Linked DNA regions of Rattus norvegicus. The protein of the gene in region 2 binds, or shares a complex with, the protein of the main gene of each other region. Links are inferred from orthologs where the notes say so. Each region holds a gene or a part of one and is shown on either strand. Other genes may lie near its edges.

What was found.
Region 1: the proteins of Atp8b1 (region 2) and Tmem30b are in contact, whole or in part, in a cryo-EM structure (PDB 7VGH), measured with the Homo sapiens proteins. The link is inferred for Rattus norvegicus from reciprocal best matches to the Homo sapiens genes ATP8B1 and TMEM30B. Residues at the interface, in NP_001361314.1 of Homo sapiens: Trp362, Val366, Ser369, Ser370, Trp371, Tyr372, Leu373, Tyr374, Asp375, Gly376, Phe418, Trp421, Asp422, Leu423, Tyr426, Asp431, Pro433, His939, Trp942, Arg946, Tyr968, Phe971, Asn972, Gly973, Ser975, Ala976, Gln977, Leu1003, Gln1005, Phe1049; in NP_001017970.1 of Homo sapiens: Gly9, Ala10, His11, Gln12, Pro13, Asn15, Phe18, Thr19, Gln20, Gln21, Arg22, Leu23, Pro24, Ala25, Trp26, Gln27, Pro28, Leu30, Ser31, Ala32, Ala35, Leu38, Phe39, Phe46, Leu49, Leu53, Tyr109, Tyr111, Asn116, Phe117.

Annotation. Positions count from the first base shown.
Region 1 is NC_086024.1:97,987,721-97,992,327, forward strand, and holds the start of Tmem30b (cell cycle control protein 50B), read right to left. Parts: upstream 2,827-4,607; 5' UTR 2,769-2,826; coding exon 1,707-2,768; 3' UTR 1-1,706. UniProt on the Homo sapiens protein: Accessory component of a P4-ATPase flippase complex which catalyzes the hydrolysis of ATP coupled to the transport of aminophospholipids from the outer to the inner leaflet of various membranes and ensures the maintenance of asymmetric distribution of phospholipids.
Region 2 is NC_086036.1:60,366,542-60,370,850, reverse strand, and holds the start of Atp8b1 (phospholipid-transporting ATPase IC), read left to right. Parts: upstream 1-1,466; coding exon 1,467-1,647; intron 1,648-4,309. UniProt on the Homo sapiens protein: Catalytic component of a P4-ATPase flippase complex which catalyzes the hydrolysis of ATP coupled to the transport of phospholipids, in particular phosphatidylcholines (PC), from the outer to the inner leaflet of the plasma membrane.

The DNA.
Region 1 (4,607 bases), on a different chromosome or scaffold from region 2:
GTACAGTGTCACGTTCAGCTTACATAGTCAAGAATATCACAAGATGTGACCTGATATTAAATGTTATCACATTCGGAAGTCAGAAAGCCAACACATTGGAATTGCTAAAGAATTTCTTTGATATGCATAAAAGTTATTTTAAGTCACTTTTTAATCTTAGGCATGCTGTTCATCTAAAAATAAGTATTAACTAAAACAGAAGAATAGAATGAATGGAAATAATCACCGTAGCTCAACATCTGACAGCCATAAAACATACTCCAAGACCTGTGCTGCCTTCGAGGAATGAAAATACACCAGCAACCAGAAAATAACTGCACTAGGGAGTCAGCCCAGAGCACCCTGACAAATGCCAAGTAACTTTTCTTCAGGGAACCTGGAAGACAGTATCATGGAAAATTTTATTTTTAATTTTCTTTTAAATTATTGTTCCATAAAAGGGGGGGATGGTTTAAAATAAAAATGTCCCAATTGTCTCTGAGACTAGCTTTATATCAATTGTAGGCAATCAAATAAAATCAGCCCAGTAATTTTAACATTATCTTAAAGGCTAAAATAATCCCGAGTCTATTTTGCTTATAAGAATATATCTATCCCTCATCATTCTTAAACGTGATCACTAGAAATGCGTTTCATTTGAGAGTTGACACTGACTTAAGATAATTCTTTGTGAAAATAACACAAAGTTAACTAAATTATTCCCTTCAGCATCAAAAAAAAAAAAAAAAAAGACGATGATTCATTCAAAAGGGGGGGGGGGGTGAGAAGTCAGGCAGAAGTCGGTCCCTCAAGGTCCCAAGGAAACAGCTCCTCACCAAGATCATTTGCAGTCCGGTTTTTCAGGTTAAAACACTTCCCCCTGAGCCATGCAAACTGCGCTTGCATTTTCAAAGTTTTACACAGCCTCTTGTTAAGTTTGCTTTCACGTTTAATGACGCGCTTTGGCCCTGCAGATCTGCAGCTTCCTAGACCTAGCAATTTTTCTCACTTGTCCCATAAATTGCAAGCTTCCTTCCTATGCTCAAGAGCAAACACCAACACTATGATTGCCACCGTTCGTGGGAACAAATTATTACAGGAAAAACAGAGCTCAGGTGAGTACTTCAGGCCCAACCTGGGTCAGCATTCCCAAATTTAAGGGCACAGGGACTCCAGAGAAGCTTGCTCATCCTGGCCTTACTGTATCAGAACCTGAGGGGCCTGGCGCCTCTTCATCGACTTAGATTTTAACAAATGTGCTTTTCCCACTCCCCCAAGCTTCTGTAGGCCATCAGTGGACATAATTTTCCATCCCAACACTTCCCCACCCCATCCGGTATCTTCCTCCCAGAAAGCTGAGGGTGGCTGAAGCTTAGAGGGAGGAACAAAAGCTTAGATTCAGAATGGGATCCAACTGCTGGCTGTTGGTCTTAATGAGTTCCAATCCAGGAATCTTCCGTGTCCTTTGCCCTGGAATGCTGTAGACTTTAAGGACCTGCCATGTCCACCCGGTAAGCCACGGGGGAGATGGGCAGAAATGGCAAGATGTGTCACTCTGCAGTCCAAAACCTGAGAACAGTCCCGTATCTCTTAAGAGTGAGCGTGTAATTCCCTTCTTCAGGCCCTTCGTCCACAACAACAGATCAGTGAGCCTTAAGTTGTGTTAGGAGCAAAGGGCTACCACCGCTAAATGCGGCTTGGCCAAGAAGCAGGAAGGGGAGGCAAGATCACTCATCGTCATTGTCGTCGTCATCCTGGTCCTGGTAGCGAATGTAGACGACCAGCATGACAAAGCCCATGAGGATACAGAGGGAGCCGACGACCAGGTAGGCGATGCCCAGAAAAGGGTTCTTGCCACCCATCCATGAGATGTTGCTAAGGATGATAAGCTTGTGGCCGCCGAAGGCGCGCACGGGGTAGTTGTAGGTGATGTTGACCCGGTAAGTGCCCCGGGGAAGACCGGCCGAGTAGTTGCCCTGGCGGATGCGCGCATACAGCTTGCGGAACGTGGGCAGCGCTGCGGTGCGCATCCACACCACGAAGTCCTGGTTGATGAAGCCGGTGTTGTTGGGATCCGGGCTGAGCTCATAAACCGGCCGGTGCCAGTTGGGCGGCGGCGCCGTGCCCTTGAAGGCCAGCGCCAGGCTGCCGTTCACCAGCGGCGGGTTGCGGAACTTGACGTGGTAGTCAGTCCACCAGGCGATGGCGGTGCGGTCGAGCGGCACCTCGACGAAAGGGTCCGCGGGCTGGCGCTGGTGCCAGAGCGAGAAGGAATCGTTGAAGAGGCTGTTGGCAATGGCGCCGCACGGCGCGATGGGCAGGCCGTCGGAGCTGAACTGGTAGGGGGCGCACTCGTTGGCCGGGTGGCGCAGCGCGCTGGCCAGGCCGCTGAGCTGAGCGTCGTCGCGGGACACGCCGTAGCGCCGGTTGTTCTGGTAAAAGTTGGACAGCTCGTAGTAGAGGTACACGGGGCCCGGGAAGAGCTCGGGCAGCGTGAAGCTCCAGGAGCACTGGCAGCTGGGCGGCGGCGCGCGGTCCTGGCCCTTGGCGGCGCACACCGAGCAGTTGCCGGTGCCGGGGTTGCCGGTGTAGTCGTACTCCAGCTCCTGGATGCCGTTGGAGGAGTAGAAGAGGCCCAGTCCCAGGCCGATGAACGCCAGGCCGGCGCAGAAGAAGAGCGGCAGCGTGATGCCGGCCGACAGCAGCGGCTGCCAGGCGGGGAGGCGCTGCTGCGTGAAGGCGGTGTTGTCGGGCTGCTGCGCGCCCCGCGCCGAGGCGCTCCAGGTCATGGCGGGGTCTCAGCCGGGGCCTGCGGTGGGTGCTCAACCCGGGTCAGCGGCGGGCCTCCCGCCTCCACTCGCCGTCTCCGCTCGACGGCTGCTCCCCGGCCCCGCCTCCCGCCCGCGCAGGTGCGCCCGCCCCGCCCCCCACGCAGGTGAGGCTGAATCCCCGGCGCCCCGCCTCTGCCCCGGCTGCTCAGTTCCGCCACCGCCCGGGTGACCTGGGACTGGCTCCGCCCCTGCATGGCGCCCTTCCCAGGTGAGCAGGGCGAGGCTCCTCACCTCACCCGGCTCTGACTCTACAGTCCTCCCTTTCTGGCTCCTCCTCCTCCTCTCCCCTCCCCTCTCCTCCCCCTTCTCCCCTCTCTCCTACCCCCCTCCCAGTTCTCCCACTCCTGGGTGGGTGAGTGATGGGCTCTGAATGGGTCTTACCTTTGCTCGGGTTCCTTTTCTCTTCTACAGGGCCTGGGCAACTTCCCCCAAATCACAAGCCTGACTTAAACAAGAAAGTTCCACCCCAGAGCTTGCTTGCTCCAGGGTGGGGTTCTGTTGGCTTGATTATTTATTAGCTTGTTAAGGCTGTTAATCCTCCTTATTTAAGGAAAAGGGTGAGTCTTAAGTAGGGTTTCACTTAGTTTTCAAGCACAAATTATAGTGCCCTGGGTGTTACATTATGGTAACTGCATCAATTTCAACATGGAGTTCTTATTCTCCACTTTTTATTTAGGGCGGCATGGTGGTGGTGGGGGAGATGGGAGGGGTTAGTATTTTCTAGCCAGTTTCTCCAGTCTGGCTTGATAGCTATGAAAGGTGGAAAGTTCTGTAAAAAATAAAGTGATCTTTTAAGAAGAATCAAAGACTGGGAGAATTTGCAGCCTTGAATGTCTTCTCTAACTGTCTGGAGAAACTAGCAAGGAGGGGAAAAATCCCCGCTATGGACTACATCTGACGTTCTTTTCAGTTCTTCTGCTTGTCTAGAGAAAAGCCTGATTCACCCTCCACCTGGGTGGGGGGACGGTGCCGATATCCACAGTCAAGGACATTTACGTGTTGGCCCAAGTTGAACTAGGATTTATAAACTGTATAAAAACTCTAATTAGCCCGGGATTCGAGGGTTGGTTTGTTTGTTGTTTTTGTCTGTACATAGGTTAGAATACACAGAACATAGGGGACTCTGTATTAAATCTTCCTTAGGTACTGAAGTTCACCCCTCCAGCTCATATAGTGTAAATAAATGCTTTCTCTGTTATTCTTGCATACCTGTTCATGTATTGCACTCAGCACTCATCCAAAAATCCAAAGAGACTTGGAAAACTAAAAGAGTTGTTAAAAACAGTTTTAATGTTGTCCCTCCAAGTCTTCAGCCCTATGCTGAACAATGTAGAAGACAAGAGGCAATTAGACCAAAATAGAATCTTAGTACTCTAATAAGGCACTCTCTGGGCTGTTGTTGTTTGTTTGTTTGTACTAGAGTTATCTGAGAAGAAGGAACCACAACAGAGAAGATGTCTCCATAAGCCTGGCCTGAGGTGTGTTATTCTGATTAAGGATTGATGTGGGCAGCGCCACCTCTGGGCAGGAGGTCCTGGAGAACATTAGAAAGCAGGCTGAACAAGTCACAGGAAGCAAGCCAGTAAGCAGTGTTCCTGGTGACTTCTGTATCAGTTCCCACCTCCAGCTTCCTGCCCTGGGTTCTTTGGCAATGGACTGCGATGTGGAAACGTAGTCTGAAATAAGCCCTTTCCTTCTCAATTTGCTTTCTGTCATGGTATTTTATCATAGGAATAGAAACCCAAGGCAGGCATGTCCTATGTAGGAAAAAGAATCAAAACAGCCAGTAGCTGGCCT
Region 2 (4,309 bases):
CAAGGGTTTCTCTGCAAGCACCTTACACCTATTTAAAGTACATAATCAGCTACAGAAGTAGAGTGTACGTGATATTTCTTGGAAACTTGATTGTTTTTGTCACAAGATTTTTTTTCTAAAAAACAATTTTTTTTTAAGATTTATTTCATGTATGTGAGTATACTGTTGCTGTCTTCAGACACACCAGAAGAGGGCACTGGATCCCATTATAGATGGTTGTGAGCCACCATGTGGTTGCTGGGAATTGAACTCAGGACCTCTGGAAGAGCAGTCAGTGCTCTTACCTGCTGAGACAACTCTCCAGCCTCCTGTCACAAAGTTTTTTAATATTCCAGAGTCTTGGTTTTCTTTTCAGTAGAGAACAAGTAATGACACCTTCCTTGAATTGATAGGAAACTTTCAAAGGAGCAGTGTTGATGAAGCCCTTAGTCTGGGAGCTGGCACATAGCTAACACTGAATGGATGTGGGCTGCTGTTGCCCACAATACTCAGTACCGGGCAGACTGACACTTGGGTAAACAACAGCAGGCAGCATGACTGTCCTCAAGTAACCCAAGGAATTTGTGTAAATAGTTCTCCAATATAAATATAACTCCGGGCATCCGTGTTTCCACTGTGGAGTTACTTTATGCAACAGCATACCCTCAAACAAATTCTAGAGAGGGAGGGGGGATGGTGGTGGGAGGAGGACAAGAGGTGGAAGGAGTGTTTGCTCCTTGTTGCAAACTGATTAAAGGCTCAAAGTATTAGCGCTCTCGGGAAACAGTTCTCTTAAGGCAGCAGTGTTCCAGCTCTGTCTAAAGTGGGGAATACAATTCCACAAAAACATATTAATGTAATGTAAATAAATGTAGGCTTCTGGGTACCATAAAGCATTTTTTTAAACCAGAAAGTACTTATTGTTACTACATGAATCATGCTTTAATACTGTCTAGACTATTTCATTTTTATTTTAACATTGACCCTACTAAATTTATTAATTTATTATTTATTTGTAGAGATGGACAATTTGAAATATTACTCTCAAGGTTTGTGTGGCCTTCTAGAAAGACAGACTTGTGAGAGATTGAGTCTTATACTTACCTGTTTTTCTTTGCATGTGTTATATGTGGGTATGATATACAGGTACATGTGTGTCTGAGGGACATATTCATGTGAGGTACCAGAAGTAACAGTGGGTATCTTCCTTAGGTCCTTCTCCTGTGTAGCACACACTTATAAACTGAGCCTCTTTTTTCCCCTCAGTTCTGATCTAGTACTTAATCAATAGTGTTTTTGTTTTTCTTACATGTCATGCTAAACTTTTAGATCACTATTCTCGAATAATTTGCATTGTCAGTGGGACAATGTTCTGTGAAAGAGGTCTTCTGACAAGATGCAGCAAGATTCAGCCCAACACAGGAAAGTCACAATTCACTCTTGTTTCCCCCTTTTCTCTCCTCAGGTAGTTCCAATTTGCCAGCAGAATGAACACAGAAAGGGACTCGGAAACAACATTTGATGAGGATTCCCAGCCCAATGATGAAGTGGTTCCCTACAGTGATGATGAAACCGAAGACGAACTTGAAGACCAGGGGCCTGCAGTTGAACCAGAACAGAATCGTGTCAACAGAGAAGTCGAGAAAAAGAAAGAGACATTCCGGAAAGGTGACTGAGTGAAGGGCCTGCTGAGGGTGTGGTGTATGTGTGGATGCTCGACAGGGCAAGGGAAATGTACCAAAGTTGACTGGCCGATTCATGTGGTCTAGGAAGGTATCTTCCTCCTTTGATGTCTGTCTAGGGTGACACTGAGCAGGTACCCATCATCCCCAGTGGGGCAAGGGTGGGAGTGCATATCTGACAACTTCTGTCATAAAATCAGAAGGTTTGGTTAGTGCTGCAAAGGGAATTGTGTGTAGAAGAATTGGCTTGCTACTTCTGCACTCAGAAATCAAAAAAAGTATACATGCCAATCATAATAATAAATAGAATTTTATTGAAATGATTTGCATTACTAAATAGCCTAAGAACTAATGCAGATCTATTGATACCTGAGGCTGGGGAGGTAGCTCAGTGGGTGAGAGCACTTGCTGCATAACCATGAGGACCTGAGTTCAAGTCCACAGTACCCTTATAAAACAAAACAAAACTGAGTATGTCTACTCTCATGCCTATAGCCCTAGTTCAGCGATGGGCAGCGGGGCTGGGGGCTTTCTGACTGCTAGCTTAGCTCCAGATTCGGCAAGAGGCTTCGTCTCAGGGAAATAAGGCAAAGTGGTAGAGAAGGACACCTGATACCTTCCTCTGGCCTCTCTCTCTCTGAACACTTGTGCAAACACACCTGCAAATACAGTTGATCATGCACCATATACTCACGTGTCTACGTGGGTTGACTCACGTGCCCATAAATAGATCAACAAGAGCAATATCCACTCACAGTTTTTACACTGTGCTGAAATAAATGCACTTTGGGGAATATTCAACTATTCAACCAGTGGGTACTGCTCTTTGAAATTCGTCTTTCCCCTCTCATCAGAAGTCAGGACATCACACACTGAGGGAGGCAGCTTTCCAAAGAACTCTCAGAGGCCAGGACTCCTTGGAAGAGTGATATTGGAACATCACCTTGACTGTACCTGGGAATCAGGGCCTAATTCTGAGCTCTTGTTCTTTCTAATGCTTCCCTGTACTGTAGAGGACCTTGGAGCCTCCATACCTTTTGTTCAGTCACTCAGTGAATACAAAATGGCTCTGGTCCTCCGGAAAGAATTTTTGTTGGTTATGTTTGCGTGTTTACTTTAAAAATATTTGTATTAATTCTTTTGAGAATTTTATACGATGCGTTTTAATTAATTTACTCCCAATTCCTCCCTTTAATTCCTTCCAGATCCTCCACCACTTCCCTACCTGCTCAGTTTTGTTTCTCCTTTTTCTTTTAACTTAATAACCCAATAATTCCAACTCATGCTAGCCATATACTACTGGGCATGGGGCCATCCACGGGAGCATGGTCAATCAATCTACCAGGAATCATACACTTAAAGAAAACTGACTCTCCCTACCTCAGATCCGATAGCTGGAGCTCCTCCGTTAAGGGTAGGACTTAGAAACCCGTTTCCACTTCTTACTTGAATTTTGAAAGGCTTAACCCTGTACCAGCAGCTGCAACTGCTTGGAGTCTTTGAATGCCTTGGTCCTGTCCTGTCTAGAAGTCACGTTGTGCTCTGGTCTCCAACCTCTGGCTTTTACAGTCTTTCTGCCACCTCTTCCTTGATGATCCCTGAACTTTAGAGAGGAAATGATTATAGATGTCCCATTTGTGGCTGGGCACACATTACCGCATTTTGAACACTTGTGAATGTATGCACAGCCATTATATTAAAAAAAATCTTCTCTATTGGACTGAGAGAGCTACATTACACTATAGGTAAAGAGATACAGATTTAGAAAACAATTTCACTACTGTGCCAGCTAAGCAAAATAATAGTAACTTCATTCCTGTGGCCCACAAACTCCTCAACTGTTGGTTCTCGGCCTGCTTTGCAGTACCAAGCACGTTTCCATATGTGGAGGGAGGCTGAAAATTTGAGCAGAAAGTAGTTGGTTATTGGTACAGCATTCATGCCGCTATTATACAGACGGTCATCTCTTGCCATTCTGGCCATTATTACAACTCCAGAGTTCACAGCTGAGTAAGATTATCAACGGCTTTCCCCACCCAGCGGCCTTCAGAGCGCCTTCTAGTATTAAGAGAACTAGCCACCATAGAGGAGTCATGCTGTTAAGTCGCAACCTGGTTTCTCCATGTCCTCTAAGCTGTGTGTGTGTGTGTGTGTGTGTGTGTGTGTGTGTGTGTGTGTGTGTATGTGTTATCAGAAGAAGTTATTTTAATGGGTCTCTATTTGCCACGAGGGGCCAGTCTGCAGCAACCTATGCTTCTTGCCTGAGTCAGGCCCACTTCGGATGTAGCGTCTAAATGAGGAGCTTTTCACATGGAGGGACAGACAGGAAACATTTAAGGCTTTGCAGGCCATACGGTCCTTGTCAAAAGTGCTCTACCGTACCAATAAAACGGACACAGACAGTGGCTGCTTGGGCCACAGAACGTGGCTTATGTTCACCCTTATACCATCCTTGTGGACTTATTGGTTCCTGTTGCTTGCCCCACCCTGGCAAACAAATATGACTTTCTCTGTGGCTTGTCTGCTCCTGAGAAAACTGAATCTTTTCTCTTTAAACCCCAGGCTTGTCTAGAATTCAGGTTCATTTTTTTTCACTGGCTGTCCCAGATTCTAGCAGGAGGAATAGTACGTCCTTCCTGAGTGCCTCT